3 linked regions of the Sus scrofa genome follow. The protein of the gene in region 1 purifies or fractionates together with the protein of each later gene. This does not show direct contact. Links are inferred from orthologs where the notes say so. Each region holds a gene or a part of one and is shown in the gene's direction. Other genes may lie near its edges.

Region 1 (9,905 bases):
ACTGAGCAAGGCCGGGGATCTAACCGAAACCTCATGGTTCCTAGTCGGATTCGTTTCTGCTGTGCCACGACAGGAACTCCCTTAGACATGTTTTAACACATTTATTTATATTAAATATAATAGGAAATATTACATATTAAACATAGCATAATAGATTTTGTTTGTTTTTTTAGGGCTACAGCCATGGCATATAGAGGTTCTCAGGCTAGGGGTCTAATTGGAGCTGTAGCTGCCAGCCTATGCCACAGCCACAGCAATGAAGGATCCAAGCTGCATCTGCAACCTACACCACATCTCACAGCAACACCAGATCCTTAACCCACTGAGCAAGTCCAGGGATTGAACCTGTACCATCATGGATAATAGTCAAATTCATTTCCGCTGAGCCACAACGGGAACTCCCTAGCATAATAGATTTTAATAAATATAATTCTAGATCATTATAATAAATATAATAACTGCTATATTTATAATTATATAATACATATAATAAACACATTATAATAAATCATAAAATAAATCATTATAATAACTATAATAAATAATTACTGTTTCTATATATGGTAATTATATAATAAATATAATAAATAATTACATTATAATAAATATAATACATAAAATAATACATTGGAAAATAAATACATTAAATAAATCTCAAATATAAATATTTGCTTCTTTATATTAAACCTCCAGCACTGTCTACCCGCTCTTCTGCTCTCTTTTCCTCAGTAGGGCTTATGACATAGAATTCATTTATTTCCTTTGGTTGTTGTCTACCCCGCTCCTCAGTGAGGGTTCTTTTGTGCATTGTTGCACACCAGTGCCAAGAATAATGCCTGGCATTTAGCAGGGCTCAATAAATATGTATTGAATGAAAGGTGGCAGGTTTAAATGGTGACGTGTTAAACCGGACACTCTGGAAGATGTGCCTTTCCTATCCTGTGACTTAGAGGCACACCTCACCCTCAGTGGCAAGCGTTCCCAGCACTGGAAATAAAAATGTCTTATGTTTAGGGAGCGGAGGGGAGGGAAGCAGCACCACCTCCTCACATGCTTGCGTTGCGAGGTATTTCTTGACTTCCGAGCCTCTGAGAGCCATGAGCTGTGTGCCATGAGCCCATGTCGGGACATAGTTCTTGAATTAGGTGATTTGACTTTACTTCTTGCTACCTAGGCTCTGATTTCACAAGGCAGGCCTGCAGTGGCTTGAACTTGCCTGGATAATGCTGCTCTACATGCCCATCTAGATCCTTCTCCTCCCTCAGAGCCCAGCTTGGGCCAAACCTCTTATGACATTGGCCTTAACTTGGTGGTCCCAATACCAAGGTCAGTCCTTTTCTCCCATGCAGAGGGCAGCCTCTCAGACCCAATGGGACCAGGGAATGGCTGTGTGGGCTCTACCGAGGTAGCCTGAGAGAAAGAACAAGCTGATTTCCAAACACCTATAGTGATTTTGGAAGAAAGTGCAATGGTGTAAATTAGTACCTCTTCCACTAAACCACAAATACCAGTCACTAACTCACTTTATTCTGTATTTCCTCCCAGTTTTCAGGAGATCACAGAGAACATCATCTATGGCAATTTTAGACATAAAAAGCTTATCTTTGTACTGTCAATAGCCCATTGATAAGATGTAGTTGGGCTTTAAAAGCAGGTTCTTGTAGTTACTGATGGTTCTGAGCTTGTTCAAATAGAGCTGCTTTGTTATTCTTTGACAGTACCCACAAACCCCTTCGTTTATGTACCACCATTCATTTAATATAACCAGCCCTTGGAGTTCCTGTTGTGGCTTGGTGGTAATGAACCCAACTAGCATTCATGAGGACTCGGGTTTGATCCCTGGCCTCACTCAATGGGTTAAAGATCTGGCATTGTCATGAGCTATGGTGTAGGTCGCAGAGGCCACTCCGATCTGGGATTGCTATGGCTGTGGTGTAGGGTGGCAGCTGCAGCTCCAATTTGACTCCTACCCTGGGAACTTCCATATGCCATGGGTGCAGGTGCAAAAAGAAAAACAAACACACACACACACACATATATATATATATATGTGTGTGTGTGTGTGTGTGTATACGTGTGTGTGTGTGTGTGTGTGTGTGTGTATGTGTGTGTGTATACAAGCCCTTGTATAGACCTTCCCTGTGGCCAGGCACTTTTCTAAAATGATTACATATATTAACTCATTATCCTACAAAACACGTTTACTGTTAGACAGGTACTACTGGAATTCCCACGTGGCTCATTAGGATAAAGATTCAGCATTGCCATTTCCGTGTCTCGGGTCACTGCTGTGGCACAGGTTCCACTGCTGGCCTGGGAATTTCTGCATGCCGCGGGTGCGACCAAAAAAACCCACAAATAAATAGGTATTGCTATTATTTCCATTTTACAGATGAGGAAACTGAGGCACAGAGAGAGTGACTAATGGTATGAGGCTGGTAAATTCCAGAGCCAAGATTCAGACCCAGGTACTCTGGTTCCCAAGACCATGTGTTTGTTTGCTTGTTTGTTTATTGCTTTTTAGTGCTACACCCATGGCATATGAAGTTCCCAGGCTCGGAGTCAAATCAGAGATACAGCTGCCGGCCCATGCCACAGCCGAAGCAACGTGGGATCCAAGCTGCCACATTTTTGACCTATACCACAGCTCTCAGCAATGCTCGATCCTTAACCCACTGAGCAGAACCTGGGATTGAACCCGTATCTTCATGGATCCTAGTAGGGTTCGTTACCACTGAGCCATGACAGGAACTCCAAGACCATGTGTTTAACCATTAGTCCACTTGACTAACACCTTTGCTCCCCTCTACCACTTTCCCTGTATCTGTCAGCCAATGCTTTTCCTCTGATCTTTATTCTTCCTAGTCAGAGAAAGACCCTATTGCCTTTCTCTAAAATCATATCCCAAACTAACCAAGGTAAATTTCTTGCAGATGAGATGAAACCCTTTCAGTGACCCTCTTCCCTTCTCTGCAAACACTCACTGACACTGATTAGTTTACTTCTTGACTGACCCCTGATGTTCCATGCTTTGATCAAGCACACCCACCTCTTAGGATGCTCAAACCATTTTGTTTTCTCTTTCTAAATTCTGGAATGGAATATTTACCAATGAAAAGTTCAAGGGGAAAATGTCTTGATCTGAATGAAGTTAGGGGAAGATGCATCAGATGGCTGTGTCTGCACAGGGTCGGGGAGGGTGTGTTATTGAGAAACTGGATGTAGAGAGCCTGTTGGAAACTTTCGCTTTTTTTTTTTTTTTTTTTTTTCCTCTTAAGGGCCACACCTGAGGTATATGGAAGTTCCCAGGCTAAGGGTCTAGTTGGAGCTACAGCTGCCATTCTACGCCATAGGCACAGAAACGCTGGATTGGAGCTGCATCTGTGACCTATGCCACAGCTTGCAGCAATGCCAGATCCGTAACCCCCTGAGCAAGGCCAGGGATCAAACCTGCCTCCTCAAGGACACTATGTTGGGTTCTTTACCCGCTGAGCTACAAGGGAACTTCTGAAACTTTCACTTTTGTTGTCATGAAATTTTCGTAGGAGCTTTAGGAATGGAAAGGAAGGGGTGCATTCAAGATGCAGTTCAGAGAGAACAGTGGAGTGGACTTGTGGGGAACTACCTCTAGGAATAAGCTAGAGAAGAGAGTTAACATGATACTGCTATTTTGGGCCCTAATGATTATAATGAGAGTGTCATTAGCCGGATGGGTATATCAGGAAGCTAATCTGATTCAGGGAGAAAAGAAAGTTCATTTTAGAATCTCTGTCACCATCCCAGTGGAAATGTTCAACAGTTGGAAGCCACCCTGAGTGAACATTTAATGAGCTGCCTTCAAGTGTAAGCGTGATGTTAAATCTCCCACAGTCATTACCGTGAGAGGGAGCTGAGGGTGGGGACATCGTTTACACTAGTCTCCTGGAGGCACCTGCCAGAGTATTTGATGAGTGAGATCCTCCTCAGCCCTCACCTACAGAGGTGGAACTTGGCTTGTGATTTCAGTACAAAGAACACCGCTTACGATACAAGCTGTTTGCTTATGTGGCATTAATTACTGTTTGCTAACCCCAAACAATAGCAAATGACTTCTCTTCCTCACACCTAAAAATCCTTAGAAACGGACAATGTCCTTAGTTCTGTGTCCAGCTGGTTATGCGCTTGGTTTCCATACTTGATCATACTTCACATTAATTTTTAAAATAACAACCTCAAGTAATTACTGAGCCGCCCCCTCCCCATCCTGTTTGATTTCTCCAAGGGCCAGTAATCTACACGTTGACTGGTGAGAGCCCACGGCCTTCTTGGAATTTAGTTGTTACAAGCAGGCACTCAAGGTAAAAATGCAGAACGAGAAGCTGCAAGACTTTGCACAGTGCCAAGAGAGCCCAACAGGCAGGGCCTAGAATGGTGTGTTCAAAGCAGGCAATGTCATGAAACAGAACCTCAAACAACCACATGAGTCTGATGATTCATGTTAGGAGCTGACCCCAAATCTCGAGTTGGTACACCGTTGCCGATGTCACATAAGCTCAAGAGTAAATCGCCTTGCCAGGTAGACCATTAAACGACTTGCGGCAAATCTCTCCCTTCAAAGTCAGACTTTGACCAACAACCTTACTTCCCGCGAAGTCGATCCTCCTCCCTCGGAAAGGAATAAGCAGCCACGCGTTAAGCGTGCCCCCCCCCCACGCCCCCCTCCCCGGCTGGGCTGAAGGCTTGGAAACACCCGATTTTCGGAGGCTTTGGGTAGGGGAAATAAATCCAGTCCGGGTTTTGTCTGCACGGGGGGACCGGAGGGCTGCGAGGAATGGCTCGCGAAGAGGGGGGCGGTGGTGGAAAATACACAACACAAACAGCTCGCGCCTGGAGACGGCAGCTGTAGGCCCGGAGCGCGCGGGCCCGGCCGCCGGCCGCATGGAGCGCAGCGCGGCCCGTGGCTCCGGGGCGGCGGCGGCGGCGGCGGCGGCGGCGGAGGCGGCAGCGCGCCGCTCGCTCACACCCACCCCCGCCCGCGGCCGCCGCGCCGCCCCGCCGTAGCCGCCGGCCGCCGGCGTCCCCGCAGGCCGGTCCAGCGAAGGCGGCGCCCGCGTCTCTGCAGCCAGTGGCAGCTGGCGGCCCGGGGAGGCGGCACCCGCAGCCCCCCGCAGCTCCCCGCAGCCCCGCGCCCCGGGCGCCTGCGACCATAGCGGCCGCCCGGGCAGGAAGAGGAGGAGGAGGAGGAGGGGGGAGGTGACAAACTCTCCGGCTCCGCGCGGCGGCGGCCGGCAGCCCGCGGTCAGGCATGCAGGCGCGGCGTCTAGCCAAGCGCTCCAGCCTGGGCAGCCGCCGGGGGAGCGCCGCGCTGCAGCCGCCCGGCCCCGCGTCCGCGCCGGCCCGGGAAGGCGCGCTGCCTGGGCTCCCGCCCCCCGCCCCGGCCCCGGCCCCGGCGCCGGCCCCGGAGAGCTGGAGGCCGCCGCTACCAACGCCGCGCAGCGCCGGGACCGGCCCCCCTCGGGCCGCCGGGGCCGCCGCCGCCTCGTCTCCGGTGCTGCTGCTGCTAGGGGAGGAAGACGAGGACGAGGAAGGCGGGAGCAGGCGGCGGAGGGGGCTCGGGCGGGTGCAGGCAAAGCCCCGAGGGGGAGCGGAGGAGGAGGATGACGACGAGGAAGACGAGGACGAGGAGGTGGTCGTCGAGGTGGTGGACGGCGAAGACGACGACGAGGACGCCGAGGAACGCTTCGTGGCCCTCGGCCCCGGTCGCGCGCTTCCCAAGGGCCCGGCCCGGGGCACATTGAAGGTGCGTGCCGGGTCCGGGGGCGCGCGCGGGACCCACTGGCGCGGGGAGGGCAGGGGCCGGGGGCCCCGGCGCGGTGCGGGCTGAGGCCGGGACCGGCGACCGCAGAGGCCGGGCCCGGAGGGGTGTGTCCGGCGGCGCAGGCGGCCGCGCGGGGCAGAACGAGGGGACTGATGAGCTCACCGCTCGGGCCCCAGCACCTTTCCCGGCGGCCGCTCCCCCTTTCCTCCTGGGCAGGGGCGGCTGCGCTGTCCGGTGTGAGTGCGGGTAAAGGACGCTTCTCCCCGGTGAGGCGGGGAACTTGGAGTTGGGACCAGGTAGGCGCAGGTCTGCGCCGGGACCTGCGGCGGGTGAGGACAGGCGAGGTAGGAGGCAGTGAGAGGGGGTATTCTTCCCTGAGGAAGCCCGAGTGTCCACCTCCTCGTATTCTGAGGGCTAGTCAAGCTCATAGAAACTAGCAAACAGCTTCTCTTGTCAATCTCTCAACCCCGTCTGCATCCAAGAACAATTGTCGGTGAGTTTCCATCACAAGCGCCTGTAAGGGAACCGGTAAACCCAGTACAGCAAAAAGCAAGCCCTGGGTTTGTATCTGCATTTTGTTGGCAGGTTTTGGCAGTACCCGCTACCCCACCACCGCGCGTTTAAACTCGACATTGTTTAGCATTTGGGTTTTTTTCCCCTCTCTTCGACATTGCAGATGAGAGAAAAAGAGGAAATCAGAGAAAGTGTGTGTGTGTGGAAATTGGCATTTAAAATGGATGTGAGTTTCTGTTGAGAATTCTAGAGAAGTCCCTTGTGCACTGAAGCACCGAGAGATCTTTCCGTTTGTGTATCTTCAGGAGATAAGGGGTTTATTATTACACAACTGACTGGCTGGGCTTTCAGGCATGTGATTGGACAAAGCCAACCACGTTGAGGTTCATGCACAGTGTATGTTGCTAAGAAGTTTTGAGGGCAGCAAGTGGTAAGCTATGGAGTGAGCGATTTTTCTGAAGAGTGGTGCCTAAAATCAACAGAATAACTACTAGTTGTTGTATATCAGAAAGAAAAACATAAACAAATGAAGTCAATAGATATAGACTATAAAAAATTGTCAGGGGCTTGCAGAAAAAAAAGTCAGCTCCTCAAAGCATGAAATTGCAGTTGCAAAGAAATGTTAAACATCAGCATTTAGAATAGCCCCAGAGTAGACATGGCACAAATTTCTTTCCTAGACCACCCTGGAAGTACCAGCTCTGGGAGTGAGAAATTTCCAGCCAGTAGTCACTTGGGATGATAGTTTTTGACAGTTGCTTGTTGGAATCCAGACCATGAACACACTCATTACCATGGTCGAATAAAAAGCCTGCATTGTGTCACTGCAGGATATAGCTGGGTTTGGAATTAAGTCACATGGCATTGGTGACATTAAGTAACAAGAGTAGTGACTCCTTAGTATTTTTGTCCAGAAATGCTGAAAAGATGCCTTGTGATTTGAACAGCGGTTGCACAAATTGTGATAAAAAATTAATTATAATTTATGCTCTGTGATCAAAGCAAACCCAATGTAGGAAAAAAAAAAAAAACCACAACCCAAATCTATAAAAACAAAAGAACTAGGGTGTGATAATTCACGCTATCAAAAAAGATTTTTCATATCTCCAAACAAATTGCCCTTAAATTCTTTCAAAATGGGCTTCATTTTATAATGTTTTGCCCATAACTTTTTAGGAATTTATATATTGGGTCATTTGAGGTATAATTTTTACAATCTTTTACTGCTTTAAAACATTCTTGACACTGCATCTAAAGAGGCTTTCTCATGAATAAAACAGGATCATTTTTATTCTTTAATATTTTTTTTGGCCTTGCCCGCAGCATGTGAAGGTGCCCAGGCCAGGGATTGAACCTGTGCCACAGCAGCGACCCAAATGGCTGCAGTGACAATGCTGAGTCCTTAACCTGCTGAGCTACACAGGAACTCCCAGATTCATTTTATTCTAATGCATATGAGCATGTCAATATCTTATGCATATTTATGCATTCATATATTCAAATATTTATTGAGCACCTAGCATGTGCCAGGTACTAGTCTAGAACACAGCAATAAGCACCTTCCAGATGCCTACATCTAGTACGAGGAGCCAGAACAAGTCAGTCAAACAAGCAAATAAATAAGCACGGCACTGGAGATTTCTATGCATGGGATGAGGGAAATCATGGAATCTCAGGGTCTAGGAGGAGAAGGAGAAAGTTAGTAGGGGGAGGGGGACATTTGTTTGTTTCTCTCTCTCTCTCCTTTTTTTTTTTTTTTTTTTTTTTTGCTTTTTAGGGTCACACCCACAGCATATGGAAGTTCCCAGGCTAGGGGTCCAGTGGGTGCTACAGCTGCCAACCTATGCTACACCTACAGCAGTGTGGGTTCTGAGCCTCCTCTGCACCTACACCACAGCTCATGGCAACTTCAGATCCTTGACCCAAAGGATCAAGTGAGGCTAGGGATCAAACCTGCATCCTCATGGATACTAGTTGGATTCGTTTCCACTGCGCCACAAAGGGAACTCCCAAGGAGGGGGAGTGAGGCTAGGGATCAAACCCACATCCTCATGGATACTAGTTGGATTCGTTTCCACTTGCACCACAAAGGGAACTCCCAAGGAGGGGACATTTGTTCTAAGATCAGAGACAGGCAGCTTGGGAAGATCTTTCCAGGCAGAGGGAATAACTATTGCAGATGGCTTGAGGTGGGAAAGAGAAAAGAGTGCGTGTGGCTAGAACTAGATATATGTCAGGGAGGCAGATAAAGGCCAGCAACATGGTCCCTTTTTTTGCTTTTTTTAGGGCCACATCCTCAACATATGGAGGATCCCAGGCTAGGGGTCGAATGTCAGAGCTACAGCTGCCTACCTGTGCCACAGCCACAGCAACGTGGAATCCAAGCCACATCTGCGACCTGCACCAAAGTTCATGGCAATGCCAGTTCCCTGACTCACTGAGCAAGGACAGGGATCAAACCCACATCCTCATGGATAGTAGTCAGATTAGTTTCTGCTATACCAGGAAGGGAACTCCCCACCTCCCCCCCCCCCCCCCCGTTTTTTGGACTGTGCCTGTGGCATGTGGAAGTTCCTGGGCTGGGCTAGGGATTGAACCCACACTGCAGCAGTGACCCAAGGAACTGCAGTGACAATGCTGGATCCATATCCCGCTGTGCCACAAGAGAACTCCCTGGTGGGCCTCCCACCACCCCTCTTTCAGCCACATGGGCAGCGTATGGAAGTTACTGGGCCAAGTATCAAATCCAAGCCAGAGCTGTGACCTATGCCACAGCTACATGGGACCAGGAATTGAACCAGCAACACCACAGAGACAAGTGGGATCATTAACCCACTGTGCCAGAGAGGGAACTCCCTTGGTGGGCCTTTTTAAAGTAGAATATGAAATCCTTGAAAAGTTTTAAGCAGTGAAGACATGCAAAGTGGTTGTTTTTGTTTTCTTTCGCAGTGCCCAGAACATTCAGAAGTTCCTGGGCCAGGGATCAGACCCGAGCCACAGCCATGACAATGCTGGATCCTTTAACCACTAGGTCACCAGGGAACTCCTGCTTTGTATTTTTAATAAAGTTGTATTGTGTAGAGGATAGAGGACAGCAGGGAGAAGCAGGAGGGTCAGTTAGGTGGTGATTGCTGCAGTCCCTGTGAGAGCTGAGGGCAGTTTGGACTAAGAGTGGAGTTAGGAGAGGACAAATTCAGGATCCATTGTGAAGATCTACCTATGATAACTTGCTGATGGATTAGGTGTGTGTGTGTGGGGTGGGATGGGGGCTGGTGACAGAAGAAAGAATTCCGGGATAAGGCCCCGATGTAAAGGTTGGCTAGATGTGTCATTTGCTGAGATTGGGAAAACTGGGAAAATACGGCTGTTTGTGAGGGGAAAAATCAGGTATTCTGTTTGGGGCATGTAAAGTCTGAGATGATGCTTAGACATGCACATGGAAAGTGCAAGTGGGCAGAGGGTGGTAGGCGATGGAGCTGAGAGCAGAGGTTAGGGCTCGAGAGAAAAAGCAGGGAGACACGTAGATGTCATTTAAAGCTGGGGACGGGAAAGTGAGTGTAGCAGGTCGGAGGACAGCCTTGGGCCAGACTCTGGG
Region 2 (9,407 bases), on another chromosome or scaffold:
TCCAACTGACACTGGCACAGCTTTACTCAGTGGAAAAAAGGCTGTGGGGCATGTTCCTAGTTCAAAGATGGTAGTATCATCACTAACAAAATTTTCAAAGATAAGGCCAATTACAGAGATCTTATTAGACCAGTAGGTGAATTCTGACCATAAGCATTCCATTTGTCTATTGACATAATGTTTCCGAAGACCTGACACTCTGATGTTCCGCATTGGAAATCATCATGTTTTATCCAAAAACAAATCATTTGAGCCCAGAGAGTTCCTCCTGATGTGGGACTCCTGACATCAAGCTTAACTTCATACCTCTCTGGAGATTATAACTACAGATTATATGGAATGGTAACTGTGAAAACACTTTAAAGAAATATGAAGTTCCTTGTAAATGTATAATATGATTTTTATTGGGAAATATTTGTTTTTTAGGGGACAGTATTTATTCAAAAACAAACCTCCTGATGGGAATGCTCCTCCCAACTCTTTTTATAGAGCACTTTATCCTAAAATTATACAAGACATTGAGGTAAGAATATATGTATATTTGGGCATTTGCCAAATACTAGAGAATCATCAACATTCTTCAGTAACAGCAGTGTTATAGCAAACCCATTAAGGTTTATTGATGTGGGTTAAAAATCAGTTTCTTCACAAGTGAATAGGGAAGATAAAATATAGTAAATTGCCAAGCAAAATTTTAAAGCTTTTAAGTTATTCACTGATAAATACATGAAAGAGAGTATGATAATAGCTTTAAAACTGTTGAAGTTGCACTTATAAGCTGTCATTCAAATATCTTCTGAATTGAGCCTCTGTGGAAGCTCACTGGTAGAAATGGCTACCACAAATGTAAGATGAGCACTGAGCAGGTAACCTCATATGAGTCATAGCAAGTGGCAAAATATTTTACAACTTTAAATAGTGGCTTTTTAAAAATATCTTTAGGGAGTTCTCTTGCGGTGCAGCAGGTTAAGGATCTGGTGTTGTCATTGCAGTGGCTTGGGTCACTGCTGTGGCTCAGGTTCGATCCCTAGCCCAGGAACTGCCACATGCCGTGGGCATGGCCAAAGATTTTTAAAAATAAGAAAGTTTTTACATTTTTAGTATGTGTTAAGTTCTGTGTATCCAGTAGAGTAGAGCACTGAGCATTTGTCATAGGTTGCCATGAAATTCAGATGAGAGTTTAGTTCCCTAAAACTAATTACAGCTTCTTTACCCATTCCTTCCTCTCAGACGATAGAATCTAATTGGCGATGTGGAAGACATAGCTTACAGAGAATCCACTGCCGAAGTGAAACGAGCAAAGGAGTCTACTGTTTACAGTATGATGATCAGAAGATAGTAAGTGGCCTTCGAGACAACACAATCAAGGTGAGGTCTCTTCAGTTATGGGAAGGTGGCTGAAGGGGTGAGGGGGACTACAATCCCTAAAGCAATCCAAAGCATAAACTCTAAGCAGTATTTCCAGAAAGTAAGTGAGAGTCCCAAAGCCAAAAATCGTTTCCTTTAAGGAAAAGTACCTGCTTACCCACAGAAACACATGCAAATGGGTAGTGCTAAGGTTAAATTCTCTTCTTGAAGTGCCCTGAATGGGCTATTAGTCTTTTGGCCCTCACATAATTATAGGCTACCCCTGTTTCCTTAATGAAAAGGATCAAGTCTGCATTAGTACTGAAGCCACATATATATAGGTGCTTCGCTATACCTATAGAGAAGAATGCATTCCACACTACTCTGGGCTTTGATTCTTTTGGGGACTCAAACACAAAATAGAGCCAGCAAGTCTCTGCAGCACCCCATTATCATAGTGATCAAAAGGATCTTGTTTGCCATCCTAGATCTGGGATAAAAGCACATTGGAATGCAAGCGAATTCTCACAGGCCACACAGGTTCTGTCCTGTGTCTCCAGTATGATGAGAGGGTGATCATAACTGGATCGTCGGATTCCACAGTCAGGTAGAAAATTTCAATAATCTTTAGAACTCTGAAATGTCAGGTGTACTCTATTCTGTCTTAGTAATTTTGTATATATGTGCATGAACATAGTTCGAAAACTTTATAACTAAAGAATAAACCATCAGCTCCCTCCATAGTTGTGTTAATCTAGAACTAGAAAACTTGATTTAGGAATGGTTATGATAAGTTTACATTTCTGCACATTTAAGAAACTATATATTCTGTTTTAATTTGGGGGAATCATCTCTTATAGAAACGTGGTAAACCTTGCATTTCTTACAAAAACCACCTCACAGGGGAATGACATGAGTGGAATGGAGCCTTCCTTTCAGGTGGTTATAGCTATAGTGCAGGCACGCATTATCTCCTTTAAAATGTGTACAGGTGAGCAGTACTCTCTCTTTGCCAGCCCCTCCCCTGCTGTCCCTGCAGTTTTTAATTGCAGGCTTCACTCAGGGAGGGGGCTTCAATTTCCAGAGGCATTAGTAATTTGATGACACAGCCATTATGCTGCTGGAGTCCAGTGTAGCTTGAGTTCTGGGTACCAGCAGCACTGCTGGAAACCTCTGTTAGGAATTTTGCCTTGAGCTAAAGGGTTTAGCAAACATAATGCATCAAAAGTAACTTTAAAAAAATAGAAAAAAAAAAAAAAAGCAGTTAACTGCATTGTTAGATTCTCTGAAGTTAAAAGTTTACCTTCCAAGTTATCCTCTGTAAATAGAAAAGGCCATTTCTTTTTCTTGTCTTTTGACTTAAAGGCATAGCAGACTCAGTTCTTAGAGTTATCAACATTTAACATTTATTGATGCTTATGGAGTGCCTCAAGGAAGCTGAAAGTTAATAGAAGCTAACATCATTTCTAGGATAAGGGAAAAAATGATTTCCTGAAAGAGGGGGTTAAACTGGAAAAAGAAATAAAATGTGTTAGTAAAACCAAAGTAAACGTACAGAAGTAGAGTGGTCAAAGCAAAATATATCCTCACACAGCAGTCTCAAGCTATTCAAGGGTCCTGCCCTCTGCTGCGAAACCTATATATATATTGGGGTGGCCATTCTTGATACCTACCCTCATTTAAGACACAGAAATGGGGCCTTAGATTTAGGGTCTAGGTAATCTTAGGCCTTGACCTGTGTGGTAAAAACCAAGATCCAGAGTCGTCAAGCTCAGATCCATAGTACTGAGTCATCTGTTAGAGAAGTTTCTTGGCCTCTATCTGTTCTAAGACCTGAGGGCTGCCTCTTGGGACCACCAGTGCTGCAGTTATTAATTAAATATATCAGATTGTGGAGTTCCCTCATGGCCTATTGGTTAAGGATTCGGCATTGTCATTGCTGTGGCTCAGATTCGATCCCTGGCCTGGGAACTTCTTCATGCCATGGGTGCAGGCAAAAATACATATATGCGTGTATTTCTTAAATTTTAAATTTTTCTAACAGATTGAGTGTCAGAAGCTTTATAGTCATCTCGAAGTCTGGGGCCAATTAGCTGGTGACTGTGGCTGCAGGCTCATTCCTGCCCCCAAACAACTAGCACAGATTTCCAAGTTGTGTATCTTAAGGATTTCACACTGGCAGCATCCCATCCCCTTCCTCTTCCCACTCTCACAGTCCAGTCGTCTGTGTACCACTTCCCCATGCTCCATCAGTGCACTTTACCGCAGCTTAATCTCAAAGCTGCAAAAGGAGAGTAGGGTGCAACCCTAACTATGAGATTAGCATGGGAGGGGTGTAATGGATTGTAGCTTGAGGACCACTGCAATCTCAGATGATCTTAATGCTGTTTGTTCCAGGGTGTGGGATGTAAATACAGGTGAAATGCTAAACACATTGATTCACCATTGTGAAGCTGTTCTGCACTTGCGTTTCAATAATGGCATGATGGTGACCTGCTCCAAAGACCGTTCCATTGCGGTATGGGATATGGCCTCCCCAACTGACATCACCCTCCGGAGGGTACTTGTTGGACACCGAGCTGCAGTCAATGTTGTGGACTTTGATGACAAGTACATCGTTTCTGCATCTGGGGACAGGACTATAAAGGTAATAAGGCCTTTTTTAATAAGTCCCCAGCTTGAAATAGGGGAGTTCATATGGAAATCTGATCAAGGGCAGAGTGTCTAACCATCTCTGTAGAATACTTAATATTTAAATCAGATACTAGTTTATGTGTAAAAGGTAATGAGAGAGAAGTTGTGTGACAATTTTGGTTAGGTATTTTATTCCTGTAAATAATGCTGAGTATGAAAAAGACAAGGGTAAATTTAGGTTCAAGAATTAGTCTGCAAGACCAGACTAACCCCATCAGAGTATGTTAGTTTGAGGAATTCTCATGTAATAGCGGCCAGCTACAAATTAGCCCTTTGTTACTTTTAATTAAACCTGTCAGTTTTTGATTTGATTTGGATTGGTTTGAGAAGTTAAATTCCCCCTATTAGTCCAGTTCTATTTTTCTGCTTTCCTAAGGCTCCATTTTGCCATAGATTTTACTAGTAAAAGCACCAAATCAACTGCCAAGTGCTATTTTTGTTTTAGGTATGGAACACAAGTACTTGTGAATTTGTACGGACCTTAAATGGACACAAACGTGGAATTGCCTGTTTGCAGTACAGAGATAGGCTGGTTGTGAGTGGCTCATCTGACAACACTATCAGGTGAGCAGCAAGTGCCCTTGCCCAGAAGGGATCAGTATTATCCTGCCATTCATTGTTTGCACACAGATCAAACAAATCTCCAACTGTGTAATGTTTATGATAAAATGTTTTTCCTTTCTGTAGCTTTGTACAGGTCAAAAGTTTGCCCCAAGCAGAGAGGAAGCACAGCAAAGCCTTTTGTTGATGTGTTTCCTCCCTATAATAGTTTTATCACCGGATAGACCTATTTAAAAAGTACTGCTGGGAGTTCTCTTGTGGCACACTGGATTAAGGATCTGGCATTTTCACTGCAGTGACTTGGGTGGCTGCTATGGCGTGGGTTCAATTCCTGGTCTGGGAACTTCCACATGCCATAGGCGCAGCCAAAAAAAACCTAAAAATAAAAAATGAAAGGTACTGTTTGAATGAAGAAGTGGGCGAGAGAGATTAAAATGGAGGACTTTCTCTTTAAATTTCTCCTGTCTACAGTTGAAAAGTAATAATAAATAGCTAAAGACCTTTTCTCTTTTTCACTGTTCTTAAAAAAAGTAAAAAGATGTTTCCCTATTAGAAATGGCACATTTTGTTTGCTTAGCATTGCCTAACTGACCAAGGAGTTACCAGTCTTTGAAATTATGAAGAATCCACAAATTGAAGTGTCTTTTGGTGTTTTCCCTTCAGGAAGATGAATGACACACATAAGAATTTGGAAGATTCATCAGCCCTCTCCCCTCCAAAGAAGTACTAAGGGAATGAAAAGACCATTGAAAAAATAGCAGAGCTATTGTTATATCTAAGGGAATTATCATTCCTAGAAATCATTGGAATTAGTCACAAAGCATACAATTTAAATTAGCATATAAAACTTTTTGAGAACTTTGCAATTTCATTAGATGAGAAAAACTGTCCTAGATAGAGGACAAAAGCAGAGAGTGTCCTCAGTGACAGAGGTGGACATACGTTGTGAGAGAAGGATGTCACTGATACTGTGTTTCTTTTTTCTTCTTCTTCTTTTTTTTTTTTTTTTTCCTGTTTACAGAGCATCTGTAGCATATGGAAGTTCCCAAGCTAAGGGTTGAATCGGAGCTGTAGCTGCTGGTCTACACCACAGCCCCAGCAATGCAGGATCCTGGCCACATCTGCAACCTATGCCACAGCTCACAACAATGCCGGATCCTTAATCTGCTGAGGTAGGACAGGGATCCAACACACATCCTCGTAGACACTAGACACTATGTCGGATTCTTAATCCTCTGAGCTGCAGTAGGAGCTTCGGGTGTTTCATTCTTATTAACTTTGATTTCAGGAAACATTATTTTCTGTGCTTAGCTGTTTCCTTCATAGGCAACTGTATACATTGAATTCATCCTCTATATATTTTTTTGTCTTTTTTAAAATTTTATTAAATATTAGGGCCGCACTCGCAGCATCATCCTCTATATTTCTTTATGACCCTGATTACAGAATTATATAAGGCTTGATGCTTTGAAAATGTATACTACATATTTGAATTAAATTGTACATATTTCTGCCCAAGTTATATGGCAGAAAGGAAATAAATTACATTAAAAGCAATAAATTTGTGTATTATGAGTGTGGATTGTTTAAAAAGATATATGAAGTATGTTATTATAACATTCCAAACTTAGGAAAGAATACATGAAAATTTCCTTGATTCAATTTTCTCTTTAAGATTATGGGACATAGAATGTGGTGCATGCTTACGAGTATTAGAAGGCCATGAGGAATTGGTGCGCTGTATTCGATTTGATAATAAGAGGATAGTCAGTGGAGCCTATGATGGGTGAGTTTGCCAAAAGGGTTGTAAAAGCATCTACTTCTTAATCCCTCCTGCCTGAGGACATTTAATATAGCCTTCCTCATCTCTAAAAGATTACAGATATCACAGAAAGAGTCTGATACAGTATTTCCTATGTCTTTTGTATATTCAGCTCTCCTTTGTTTACTCTTTTCCAAAATATTCTTCCCAATCGTTTAATTGTACTTTTTTGCTCATGATTTTCATTAATATTTGGGGGGGGTCGTTATTATATATTTGTCTGTTTTGCCCTATAAAGCGAAGAGCCAGATAAACCCAGTATATCAGCATAAGCATGTAAAAATAGTGACTTATTAATAAAACTGAAATGTTGGCAGATAGTATCTTTGAGGGGGCTTAGGATTGTAGGGTCTTGAAATTTTATCCCTTTGAGTGATTTCTAAAGTATAGCTCTCTTGTCTTTACTACCTAGCATTTTATTCACAATGAGTTCAGTAATTCTTCTTTTCCTTCGGTCTGATTTCCAGTGGTTATAGAGTCCATTCATGTTGTGGATAGATCCCATGTCCAGCAATGCTAATATGCACAGAGTAAATTCTTATAAAAGTATGTTCACTTATGAAATGCTCTCTATCATTTCTTCTCTTCAGGATGCCTGATTTAGGGGAGTAGAAGGCCACAGTTCAAATATTGGCAGCTTTGTTAAATATTAGAAACTAATTTAAAATGTTATCTCAGTTTATGAGCTGGCTATATTGATAAAGACAACTCAGACAGCAGTAAGTGTTAACAATCCCACTTCCTTTGAGTCAGCCAGCACTGTCATACCCTTGGGGAATTAATTGTTCAGGGTATGATAACATGTCCCAGCTAAGTCCAAGGTTGTATTTTTTCATTGCTCTGGTTTTGATCTATACCCACGTTTTCTTGGGTTTTGTCTGTTACTTAACCTTGAGGAGACATGACCTATAATTGATTTTCAGAAGGGGTAAACCTTTCTTACTTAAATCAAAATAGGAGAATTTGCTTATATAAACTCCAGAGCTCTTAAATGGACCCCAGTCCTCTGGCACAGGTGACTTGGGCCATTCTTAGAATTGACCAGAAGAAAAATGCCTAGGTTGTAGGTTTATTGGTCTAAGTGAACTCTCATATCATGGAGAGTTCTAATATATAAGATCTCCTCTTGGCCATAGAGTATGGTATAACTTTACCATTCACTATCTTCAGTTTGGTTAAAGCCAACCTGTTTCTTGTTTTTAGGTCAGTCATGTACATTTTCCCCTTTTAAGACCAATAAGCTCTACCTAAGAATGAATGCAAGAACCGAGTCTCCAAAACAAAAAAGTTTTTGTATATTCCTGTGAGCTACGTTTATCATAAACTGTCTTCAGTGTGCATATTGATTGTCATGACTTTTTGCTATTCTTCCTGTGTTCTAATTTTTCTTTTAACTAAGTTTTTTGTCCCCTTTTTGATGTTTAGAAAAATTAAAGTGTGGGATCTTATAGCTGCTTTGGATCCCCGTGCTCCTGCAGGAACTCTCTGTCTTCGGACCCTTGTGGTAAGAGCCTTGTTCACTGGTTTGGGGAGCAGGAAGAGGAAGAAATTAACATTGATGTGCTGTGGAATACAGATCTGGATTTGATAGTTAGAACTTCACAAAGCTTACTACTAAGTGGAAAGGCAACCAATACATGACAATAAAATATGTTTATATAGCTGCCTTTCATCCAAAAGTACTTTAGAGACTGTATATGGAGAGGAATGTGGCAGCTGTTCAACAGCTGCACAGCAACTCTGCACAACAGTTTAGTACAGGAAGTGAATAAGAATTCTGTATCCACCAGAAACAGTAGGGGGTACTTAGGTAGAGAGAACATAATTACTCAAATTGGAACCTGTCCAGAATCTGAGGACCTGCACACCTGTGCCTGCAATAAGTGCCATGGGAGTCTACGCGAACCCCCGGTCATCCCCAAGTTCCACTTCCTATTTAAGGCATGCTGCTTCCAGCAATTTGAATCCTGTTTCTTTTATTCTAATATTCCCCTTCCCTGAACATCTTGACATCTGGGGAAAGAAGTGACTCAGAAGTAAGAATTTCACCTCAAAAGTGCCAAGTTCTTTATCAAAGAGTAAGCCAAAGGCCCAGATCAGAAAATAGCCTAAGGTTGAAAGCTGCTTCCTTTAGCAAAAGATAGGTGGGGCACCAGGGAGGACAGAATCTTTTGCACAACTCAGGAAAAAGATGAGAGCTAGCATTTGAAGCCCAATGTTCTGAATCCTGACTCTCAACTCTTCTGCTCCGGAGAAGAGAGAAGTGCATTTCTTTGTCTTCCTTGTTGGGATTTAAAACTTACTCTTTCAGCACCAGACCTGATTTACCTGCATGTTTCACACATAGGTTTTTAAAATGCATACTTTCAGGGGAGTTCCCTGATTAGGATTCAGAGCTTTCACAGGTCTGGCCCGGGTTCAGTCCCTCGTCTAGGAACTGATATCTCACATCTGGCTGCTGCACACCAAAAAAGCAATTATAAAATATGTACTTTCTTTCATTTACAATTAATCTGTGGAGTTCCTATCATAGCTCGGTGGTTAATAAACCCAACTAGTATCCATGAGGACTCGGGTTCAATTCCTGGCTTTGCTAAGTAGGTTAAGGATCCAGCATTGCTGTGAGCTGTGGTTTAGGTCGCAGATACAACTCAGATCCCACATTGCTGTGTCTGTGGCATAGGCCGGCAGCTACACCTCCAATTAGACCCCTGGCCTGGGAGCCTCCATATGCCTCAGGTGTGCCTCCCCCCAAAAAAGACAATCTAAGCCTGGTTTTTGAAGTATAATTTATGTACAGCAAAATTTGTCCTTTTTTTAGTGTACTTTTATGAAACACCACAATCAAGATGTAGAACATTTCTGTCACTGCAAAAATGATGCCCCTTCATATTAATCCTCTCTCTCCAATCCCTAGCAAATATCCCTACAGTTTTACTATCTTATGAGTGTCATGTAAATTAGATCATACACTATGTATTTT
Region 3 (10,093 bases), on another chromosome or scaffold:
GAGACTTTCATTCTCTGATGTTAGTTGGGAATGAGTCAACATTTCACTGCACTATCCTCTTCTAAAACAATCTGAATTCAGAAAACTCAGCACAGGTCAAAACATACTATTTTAAAATGCTGCTCTTTACCTTCAAAAGTATTCATAAAAAAGGGAAAGACACAAAGCTCTATCAAGGGTTTACAGGGCCTAGATTAAAAGAGAACTGCGTTCAGTATTTTGAACGAGCTCTTTTTTGGGGCGGGTACCTTTATTAGTTGTCTATTGCTGTGTAAAAAAAAAAAAACCTCAAAATTTGTCAGGTTAAAATGACAATTGTTTATTATCTCACACAGTCTCTGTGGGTCAGGGATCCAAGAGTAGCTTGGATGGGTGATCCTGGCTCAGGATCTCTCATGAGGTTAAGAACTGAATGGGGCTACTGTCATCTGAAGGACTGACTGGGGCAGGATGGCTCACTCATAGGCCTGGAAAGTTAGTGCTGATTGTTGGCAGGTGGCCTCAGTTCCTCACCACATGGACATCCCATAGGGCTGCTCAAGTGTCATCATGACACGGCAGCTTGCTTCCTCCAGAGCGAGTAACCCGAGGGAGAGAGCAAAGAGGAACCCACAAGTCTATGATCCAGTCTTGGAGGTCACATACTCTCACATCTGCCACTCTCTCTTTTGAGAAAATTTAAATATTAACTGGTAACAGGTATTAAGTACTAAGGGGTAAAGACAAGTCTAAAGGATACAGAAATAATCGTTACAGGGAATAGCCACTACGTATAGGGTGAGGCTGAATACTCAAGGAAGGACAATTTTGAAAGAGCCTTCTCACCTCCACTGTTAGCTTGGATTCAGACTTCACTAGAAAGAGGACAGTTATGGCCTGTTGGATGGTGAAGTGTGTGTGCGCTGAGAGAGGGATAACAGTTCTGCAGACTATTTGCTGCCGTGTGCCACCACAAGGGCAAGAAGGAAAAGAAAATATTCTGGAATGAGGAAAAGAAGACTCTTCATTTGGCTGCTTCCCTCTAGGTCTCTGTATTGACAGCAGTCAACACTGTGCCAGCTGGCAGGGGAGAAATACTTACAGGGCCCTACTCCAGTATTTCAAAGAATGGAAAAGAAGGGTGGATTTGGAACTGAGAGGCTATAAATTGATAGTAGGCACACATATGCTCTGCTGCAGAAAATCAATGTATGTGATTATAAAATGCTGACCTAGAACCCACTGGGGGTGTTACATTATATATATAGTATGTGCATCATACAGCCTTTGTACAATCGCAACAGTTCTGAATTCTGAGCATATCTGGACTTCAGGTTTTTGGTTCAGGGATTGTAGACCTGTACCAGCTTTCTTTTTTGTTAGCTATCTGTGTAGAGCTATCTGAAAAATAGAGGGAACATATGCCTCAAGGTCTTCTGCCTTTATAGATGACCAAATCTAATCACCAGCTGGCATCAAGCTTGAGTCAATAAAAATACCTGAGCACCTGAGATCTTGTTTGAGACAAGGAGAGAACAAAGTGATAAGCCTGCCTCTTCAACAGCTTGGGAACAACTTCTGTCCTATATAATAACTTTTTCATCTCACTGAGCTCCTGGAGTTTGACCCAATAATATTAGTATTTTCTCCTCTTAAGGTGGGATATGGTTTTAATAAAAGGACAGAAACCTTGAGTTATCTCCATTACAGTCCCATTGCCAAGGGTTGCAAGCTCAAATATCTATATGGATTCAGCATACAAGTTAAATGAGTAAAGACAACAGGGAGCTGTGGTAACAGTGGCAATCTATAGCGTACATGCTTTGAACAAAGAAGGTAATTGCTACTTAACTTCTGCATATTTTTGCCATGCAGATCTGATAGTCGAATAGTCTAACTTTCCAAGAGAAGTTAGAAATTCAGATTTTAAAATGTGAAACTATCAAATTTTGAAACAATAAAAAAGACAGTGCAGGATAAACAGACACATGGAGGGGTTCATATTCAGCTGTGACTCCTATCCTAATCTCAGCTGCTAGGTCCTGTGACAAGTGCTGGCCCTTAAAGGCCCTGATTACTGTTACACTGGGGGCCCCCAATGCACGACGACTCTCTGTATTCACAACCTTGTGTAGACCCTTCCACCCCGACTCTGGGCTTGGCCATATGGCTTGTTTTGGCCAGTGACACACTAACAACTGTGGTGCAACCAGAGGCTTGATAAGTATTTGCTCAACGGGGTTTGTCCTCTTGGAAGTTAGTCACCATGCAGAAGCCTGAACGGTAAAAAGTCAGGTAAAGAGAGAGGCCCTGGAGGATGAGGAAGCTGTTTTGATGAGCTCCCAGCTGACTGCAGTCTCATGAGTAATCTCGGCTTATACTACGTGGGACCAGCTGAGTCCAGTTAACCCACACAATTGCAAAGAATAAGAAAGCACTGTTATTTTAAACTTCTAAGTCTTAGAGGTAGTTTATGATGATGCAATAGGTAGCTGAAATAGAGGTCATTTATTCCAATCCCTTTATTTAACTAATGAATGTCTCAAAGCCTAGAGAGGCAAAGGGGTCTGGTGAAATTCAGACACCATGTTAGGAATAATAGCTTTTTAATTCTGTGTTCTTCCTATTGCTTTTCTTTCAATTCCCTAAGTAGAAAGCATCGGATAAGGGCCATTAAACTTAAAACTGTATTGAACAGAACTTACACTGTGTCCTGCATGCATACAAATTACTGTAGCAATTCGGTGCTTGGAAATGGAAAGACTTAGAGGTCATCTAGTCCCTTCCCTTTACAGGTGCAGAAAATGCAAAACACTTGAGAAAGAGAACAGTAGCCTTTGACATTTGGCAGCTGGCCTGATACAATCAAACAGGCAGTAATGTTACTAGATGATAGCCTGGTCCTCTTAGCTAGGCCTCGTGTTTTCTTGTTGAACCTAATTTCATAGAACATAAATGTTAGACAAAGCCATTCTATGGCCATGATAGACCAATACAAAAGCGAAACCACTCCTAATTAAATCTGAACACAGATCAAACAGGGACATTGTTCAAACCACAAAAAATGACCAAATAGCCCTTATTCTGGTAATGAGGGACTCCTGCTTCTCTACCAATCAGGACTTCAGCCTCGTCTAGTAGTCCTTCCGTCTAGATAACATTTACTGAGATGCCCAATCATAAAATTACCTCCACTTTCTGACAGCATCTTATCCAGGGTAAAGTCCCACTTTCTTAAACCCTCATCCAAATCACCTGACAACTCCTCCTGAGATGCCCCACAGTTCTTCATGGTGTGTGTTCTCTCTCTCTGCAACCAGCAATAAACCCAACCTGTTAATTCTCAGCGGGCCTTTGTCGTCTTTGGTTTGAGGTTACTGACAGACCTGATAAGGTTTATACCGAGCTGGAGGCAGAATTCACTGGGCATCTCCAGCTGTGTTCCTTCTTATGGTTAATGTCTGTCTTCCCCCTACCAGAATTACGCTGCGTGAGAAGAGAAGCCTTGTCTGTAGGGATCAGAGCTGATTCCCAGGGCCTAGGCTAGTGACGAGCAGAGGCTGGAAGTTTAAAAGATACTTTCTAAACGAATGAATAATAGGTTCTCTTTCACCTCTCAGTTCCTCCCAGTACGTGGTGCACAGAGACCACAAAACTCCTCTTTCTCAACTAAATTTCCAAACCCCTCTTGGGACGCCACTCTTGGGACGCCCATGCTCTCAGAGCCTCCTTCTCTGCCCGAGCTCTCTCGCTCGCTGGCCCCCCTCCGACACTTGAGCCCCAAGACCATCCCTTCCTAGAACCCACCTGTCGCCAACACCTCACCCTGCCACAGAGGCCAGACCAACCGTGCCGTTACTTAGGTGTCGAGCGGGCACTGCAGGCACAGACCGCGCATGTGCGGAAATCGGTCGCGCACGCAGGATCGCTGGCAAGTGAAGAGTTGCCTTGGAGTTTCCGTCCGGGTCCGGGGAGCCTCGGGCTGCCAGGAAGTCAGAAGAAACTAGCCGGAAAGAGAACCCGCGCGCAGGGCTTTCTGGGATATGTAGTAGGCGCGCACCTGAAGCCCCACCTTGAGGAAGCCCGTAATTCTTTAGGTCTGCACGTCTCTCATTCGCAGTCCCGTGCTACTTTCGGCTGAGAATTCAGCTTCGGACGGCTAGGAGAGATTGGTCTGGCGGGGTCTTCTCGTTCCCACAACGCTCTGCGGGACCCGCGGCGCCTGCCGGGAGCTGTAGTCCTCGCTCTGCGTACTGCGTTCGCCGAGGGGGAGGGCGGAGCTGCCGGCGGCCCGGGCGGGCTGGCAGCTAGAGTGGGTGCGATAGCCGCCTCCGCCTCTGCCGCCTCCGCCGTCGCCTCCTCCGCCCGGGCCGTTCGCTGCTGCGCGGGGAGAGCGAGGCGGGGCCGCCAGGGCCGCCATGGAGCCCGACTCGGTGATTGAGGACAAGACCATCGAGCTCATGGTGAGTGCGGCCCGCTGGACCGTCCGTTCTTCCGTCCGTCCGGCCCCGGGCGGGCCTGCCCATCTCAACGTCCGGCGCGAGGCCGGCCCTGGCCCTTCCCCGCTGCCTCGGCCCGAACCTGGGCCCTCCGGCCCGGCGCGCTTTACTCCGGATCCCTCGAGATCTCAGGCCGGACCTGGTCCGGCCCCCTCCATGCCCCTCGGTTTTCCTCCCTCCCTCCCTTCTCTCCTGTCTCTGGGCCCATCCCTGGAACGACCCTCGCTCGCTTGTGCTGTGGCCTTAGCTCACACTCGCTCAAGCATCTCCTTCCTCCCTTAGAAGGGGTTTTCTGTTTTTTCTTTTTCTAATTCTCCGGCCAGGCCTGCATCGCTCTTGCAAGCCCCACTCAGGCCGAGTGAGATGGTGATGGGAGGGGGTACAGAGAAGATCGACCTGGGGTCTCGGCCTCTGCGTCCTAGAAGGGGTCTCTCAGCACCCTCTTCTCAAGCCAGGGCTGTGTGGATGCCGGCATAGGCCCTACAGGGGTGGAGGTGGGGAGCTCTCGGGTTTGAGGCTGTGACCGATAAGGGGCCTCTTTCCTGGGCCCCTGTGGTGTCCGGCTTCTCGGACAAAGGGTTTCCTACCCGGCCGAGAGGGATGTTTGGATAGCGAGGCCCCAGGTACTCTGGATTCCATCTCCCAGGAAAGAGACACTGTAACTTCACGTTTTCCAGAGCCGCTCTGGGAAATTGGGGAGGGGGAAGAGGGCTTGTCCTCATCTGCGCCGCCAGTTCTTTCTTCTAGAAAAGGAGTAGGAGAGAATCCTAGGCCCCTGGGAAATCGATCACTCTTCTGTTAGAAACCTTTGGTACCCAGGCCAGACCCTCTGGCCCCACGAATCCCAACCCCCCCTCCGCCTTGGGACTTGGAGCCTAAGGTTTTTAGAAACAGGGCCACGAGAGAGTGGCTAGTAGAAACGAAGAACTTGCTCTTTGGTGGATGACTTGGTGGAAGAAATAAAATATGATAGCTATTACCTGCCAATTGGAATACTAGGGAAATCAAACTGGGCTCTGGAGAGCTGGGAGGGGAAGCTCTTTGCCTCAGCAAATGGACAGGCCCAGGCTTTCTTCCTGTGGAAATCTTGACAGTTTCTTTGTATCTCTTCTAATACAGTAACAACTTCTACTCTAAGGTTGAGAGGAAAGGTGAAAGAATCTACTTAACACAGCAAAACGTTTTCCTAGCCAGATTTTCTCCAGTGTGAAAATGTTTATTGAGTCAGTGATTCCACTGGGTAGGGTCGGTGACATCAGAGCCACTTCCCCCATTTAATGCTATAAATAATAAATGGTGACATTGAAAGTCTGTTGGATAGCTGCATGGTGTCTGTGGATGATGGTATCTGGGGAGTTGAGGTGCATGTTTTAAAAATGGAAGTACAGTAGCATAAATATGGAGGCAGCTTAATATTTGCTGTCCTTTGCATAATTCACTAGACTTCTTCAGCAGTCTTGAAAACTAGAGGGGAAAAAAAGCTCTGGTAGTTTCTGGGGTGTGTGTGTGCGTGCGCGCACTGGTGTGGTTGCTTTCTAAGGGATACTGTCACCATAAGTTTGATTTTCATTTATTAAGTAATTTATTAAGTAATTTTTCCTTTCAGTAAAGTTTATCAAACTTTTGTAATCAAGCCTTTGATAATCTGCAAATTTTGTAAGGGGTTATTTTAGTAAAATATCTTAACTGGAATTGCATATATAGTATATATGCTTACATGTATGTGTAATACATGTATTTACAACAGGAGTGCTTCATATCGAAAATTGTAACTTGGGGGGAGTTCTCGTCGTGGCGCAGTGGTTAACGAATCCGACTAGGAACCATGAGGTTGCGGGTTCGATCCCTGCCCTTGCTCAGTGGATTAAGGATCCGGCGTTGCCGTGAGCTGTGGTGTAGGTCGCAGACACGGCTCGGATCCAGCATTGCTGTGGCTCTGGCGTAGGCTGGCAGCTACAGCTCCAATTAGACCCCTAGCCTGGGAATCTCCCATATGCCGCGGGAGCGGCCCAAGAAATGGCAAAAAGACAAAAAAAAAAAAAAAAGAAAAAGAAAATTGTAACTTGGTACCTCTTTGAAAGTGTTCAGTGCTCCTTCCATTTACATGCCATTAAAACAATAACTAAAATGTCTTTATTTTGAAGAGAATTAGAAATGAATACAGTGTAATCCATTTAGTGTTTTGAGTGGATGTAGAAAAAAAAAAATCTCTGACCTAAATATACTGGTTTCCTATGCTTATAAATTGAAAAAGTTTTGATTTTACATAATTGTGTCTGTGATCTGAAAAGATATTTCAGCTCTTTCAAGGGCTTTACAAACTGGGATTCTTAAGATAGTTTAACAAAAAAATTTAACAGCTATCTAGATCAATTTTAAAATGCCTTTTCATATATGGATTTTGATACTCCCTCAAAGAGCTACCAGTTAAGACTCTTAGGCAATCCTTTTGATGAACATTTGTGTGTTTATTTTAGTGTAGTAGATAGCACAGGTACTTAACAACCACTTTACTGAATCCCGGATCAGATGTAGGAATGATAATGCTTTAAAATCCAATTGCATGTGGCTTTCTGTATTCATTGCATTTTCATTACAGTTTCCAAAACTAGGTTAAGAAAAAAAATTTTTTTACATTGGTTTCAAAATAATATGATGAAAGGAGGGGAAGGGGTTAAACTGGTGGTATTTTGAAAGCCTAAAGCATGAAATATTTTTAGATTTTTATGAGTCAGCTTCAGTATTCAAATATTTGTGATTGTGCGGCCTGTACCAGTTCGGTACTTAATGGTTAACAGGATAACTTTCATTTCATATTCCAGAGTGTGCTATATCAAAGGAAGGAAGCAGACTTCTTGGGTTTTACCAGTTTCTTAACCTTCCTCCCTCTACTTTCTTTGATTATGGTTCTTTCTCCCTTTTTTCCTTGTGCTTTTTTAGTTTACTAGGAAATAAAACTGGTGATAGCAGAATAATTAAATCTTCAAAATATAACCTCCATTGTGACTCCTACCCTGGTCTGCGGCCAGGTCCACAAAAAGCTTCTCCAGCTGACCTCCCTCATAGGGTTCAGTCTTTTTTGTTTGTTTGTTTGTTTGTCTTTTTGTATTTTTCTAGGGCCGCACCCACGGCAAATGGAGGTTCCCAGGCTAGGGGTCTAATCAGAGCTGTAGCCTTCACTAGAAGCCACAGCAATGCGGGATCCGAGCCTCATCTGCGACTTACACCACAGCTCACGGCAATGCCAGATCCCCAAACTACTGGGTGAGGCCAGGGATCGAACCCACAACCTCATGGTTCCTAGTTGGATTCGTTAACCACTGAGCCATGACGGGAACTCCGGATTCAGTCTTTAATATAGACAATAAATTCTGGATCGAGACAACTGAATTTATGCTTGCTGATGGTGAATAATTAACTACCGCATGTCTTTCACGGCCTTATATGGCCCTAACACTGTACCTAGTTTGTGGGACTGTTTTTCAAACTGCCAATTTTGATAAAATTAGCTTTATTTATCCACAAGGTAGAAAAGTAGTAATCCATTTGGAAATACACTAAGAAAAGTTCCCCAGGCTTTGTCTAATGTGCTAGACCTCCCTGGAAAGAAGGAAAACCTTTCGTTGTGTATCACATGATATTTAACACTTGAGTTGGAAATATGAGTTGATGTTCAGGCACATATTACTAGAAAGCACTCACAGAGCTGCTAATGGAAGAGAAAGCTTAGTCCTACCTGTTAGAAGATAGAAGTTGATGTAAAAATTTAGGAAAGATAATCCTGCTTCTGGGGTGGGTGCGTGCGAGCGTACCCCTCCCCCCTCCTTTAGTCAAGCAATGAGCACTTTGTACTCTATTGTTAGCTGCTGAATGGCTCCCCCTCTTTGCTAAGTGACCTTAAGTGAGTCATTTCCCTTCTCTGTTTTCTCTGAGGGGTTATGTTACTAGGTGAACATAGTAAAGGAGGGAAAATACAATTGGACTTTATTAAGAAGGTTTAATAATCACTTCTATTTTTACAGCTATCAGAGCACAGACTGGCCACAAGGCCAAGGAGATGAAGGAAACGAAGTGATTTATTGGAAATAGTTATCTTCTTTTACTTTTTGATCCCCCCCCCCTTCTTGTCATTGGCTTTCTAAGTGGAGTAAGTGGGATTGTCAAGTGACTTTAAGCAGTTGGGTCTTCCTTTGTCACCATCACTTATCTGCATCTGCCTCTGGCCATGTGCTGAGATACCAAATGCAGTTAAATAGACAAAGGTTTAAGTAGGGTCCCAATGAAATAAATTACATATTTTATAGGCCTCACTGACCTGCTTCAGGATACTGTCTCAAATATTTTCAATTTTTACCCAGTTTTGGAGTAGGTTAGATGTCCTTTCAGATTTGACCAGGATAAACATGATATTCCTCAGAAGAGTTGGCTTCTAACTGCTGTACCCGGAAAACTGAGAGCACTGTATCCCCCAGGAGCATCACTGGCGTGTTCCATAGGTTTACGGAATAGCACACATTTCCCTCTGAGCACTACTGTTTGGTCCTATGAATTTTGGAAAAACTTTTCTGCACTGTGAGGTACCTGGAGTCTAGGGAAAGAAAGTGTTTCAAGCACTCCAGTTCCATCCTGCCTTCCAGCTTTTTCTTCCCACATTCCTCACTTACTCTGTACTCCAGCCAAAGCAAGGAGGACTATGGTTCTTCCGATTCTGCTCAGTGTTTCCTTTGTCAGCATGAACATGAAGCCCAGGTAGCAAAGGCTTCTGAAGTTTAATGGAAGGACCTAAGTAAGAGTTGGCTCTCTGGCCAAATTGGTTTTGGGCACATCTCAAGAATCTTCTCTTCCACCTATGCTGATAAAGTCCTATCCCCTAAGAACACAATTTAGATGCCTCCTCTTTTTGATGTCAGTTTGTATTATGGTGGCAGATAGCATTTTGTTTTTATATCTTTAGTACTGCTTACACGATAATCATTGTTAAACGAAATGAATGACTTCTGGCACTTTGTATTTATCTTGTGGCACTTAACATTCTGGGCTTGTATTACAGTTTCCTGTTTGTGTCCCCTATTAAATAATAAACTCCTCACAGTGCCTTATTGTAGTGGGTGTTCAGTAAATGTTGAGTTGAATTTTCCTGTTGATTGTTTACATGTATTATTGCTCTCTGCCTTATATCTTAGCCATCCTCTTTTCTGGAAATTCTTTTCTCTATCACTTATTCTCATAATCATCTGTTCCTAACTCTTATGGGACATATTAGACCTTCCTGTGTATCATAAAAGTTTGATTGTGTCTAAGCTTCCCTTGCAGAGGCCATATCTGATTATCCTTTGAAGGCTTCACTGTGCGACAGATATTGATTAAATTAATGTTAGGTTGGTTTTTTTTTTTCATGCTGTGAAACCATTTGAAGCTTTCCTTTTGATAATCTTCAGGCCAAGGTGGAGATGAACAGAGGAGAAAGACTGCTAAGGGGGGGAGGGGGGTGGTGTGTGGCACACAGACATCCATAGTCCCTGTAACCATTCTTTACAGACTTCTGTGCACATACACGTTGATTTATATACATCTCAGTGCTTGATAGAAGAGTATTCAGGAAACCAAATTCCTTT

Evidence for each region.
Region 2: the proteins of ZNF704 (region 1) and BTRC purify together in Homo sapiens (affinity purification with mass spectrometry; 3 studies listed by BioGRID and IntAct, counting the BioPlex papers as one, with this or other methods). This does not show direct contact. The link is inferred for Sus scrofa from reciprocal best matches to the Homo sapiens genes ZNF704 and BTRC.
Region 3: the proteins of ZNF704 (region 1) and FBXW11 purify together in Homo sapiens (affinity purification with mass spectrometry; 4 studies listed by BioGRID and IntAct, counting the BioPlex papers as one, with this or other methods). This does not show direct contact. The link is inferred for Sus scrofa from reciprocal best matches to the Homo sapiens genes ZNF704 and FBXW11.

Annotation. Positions count from the first base shown.
Region 1 is NC_010446.5:55,733,865-55,743,769, forward strand, and holds the start of ZNF704 (zinc finger protein 704), read left to right. Parts: upstream 1-5,166; 5' UTR 5,167-5,284; coding exon 5,285-5,779; intron 5,780-9,905.
Region 2 is NC_010456.5:112,562,831-112,572,237, forward strand, and holds part of BTRC (F-box/WD repeat-containing protein 1A), read left to right. Parts: intron 1-426; coding exon 427-523; intron 524-1,230; coding exon 1,231-1,368; intron 1,369-1,835; coding exon 1,836-1,954; intron 1,955-3,744; coding exon 3,745-3,994; intron 3,995-4,486; coding exon 4,487-4,605; intron 4,606-6,277; coding exon 6,278-6,388; intron 6,389-7,849; coding exon 7,850-7,928; intron 7,929-9,407. UniProt on the Homo sapiens protein: Substrate recognition component of a SCF (SKP1-CUL1-F-box protein) E3 ubiquitin-protein ligase complex which mediates the ubiquitination and subsequent proteasomal degradation of target proteins. Recognizes and binds to phosphorylated target proteins.
Region 3 is NC_010458.4:52,208,409-52,218,501, forward strand, and holds the start of FBXW11 (F-box/WD repeat-containing protein 11), read left to right. Parts: upstream 1-3,992; 5' UTR 3,993-4,397; coding exon 4,398-4,442; intron 4,443-10,093.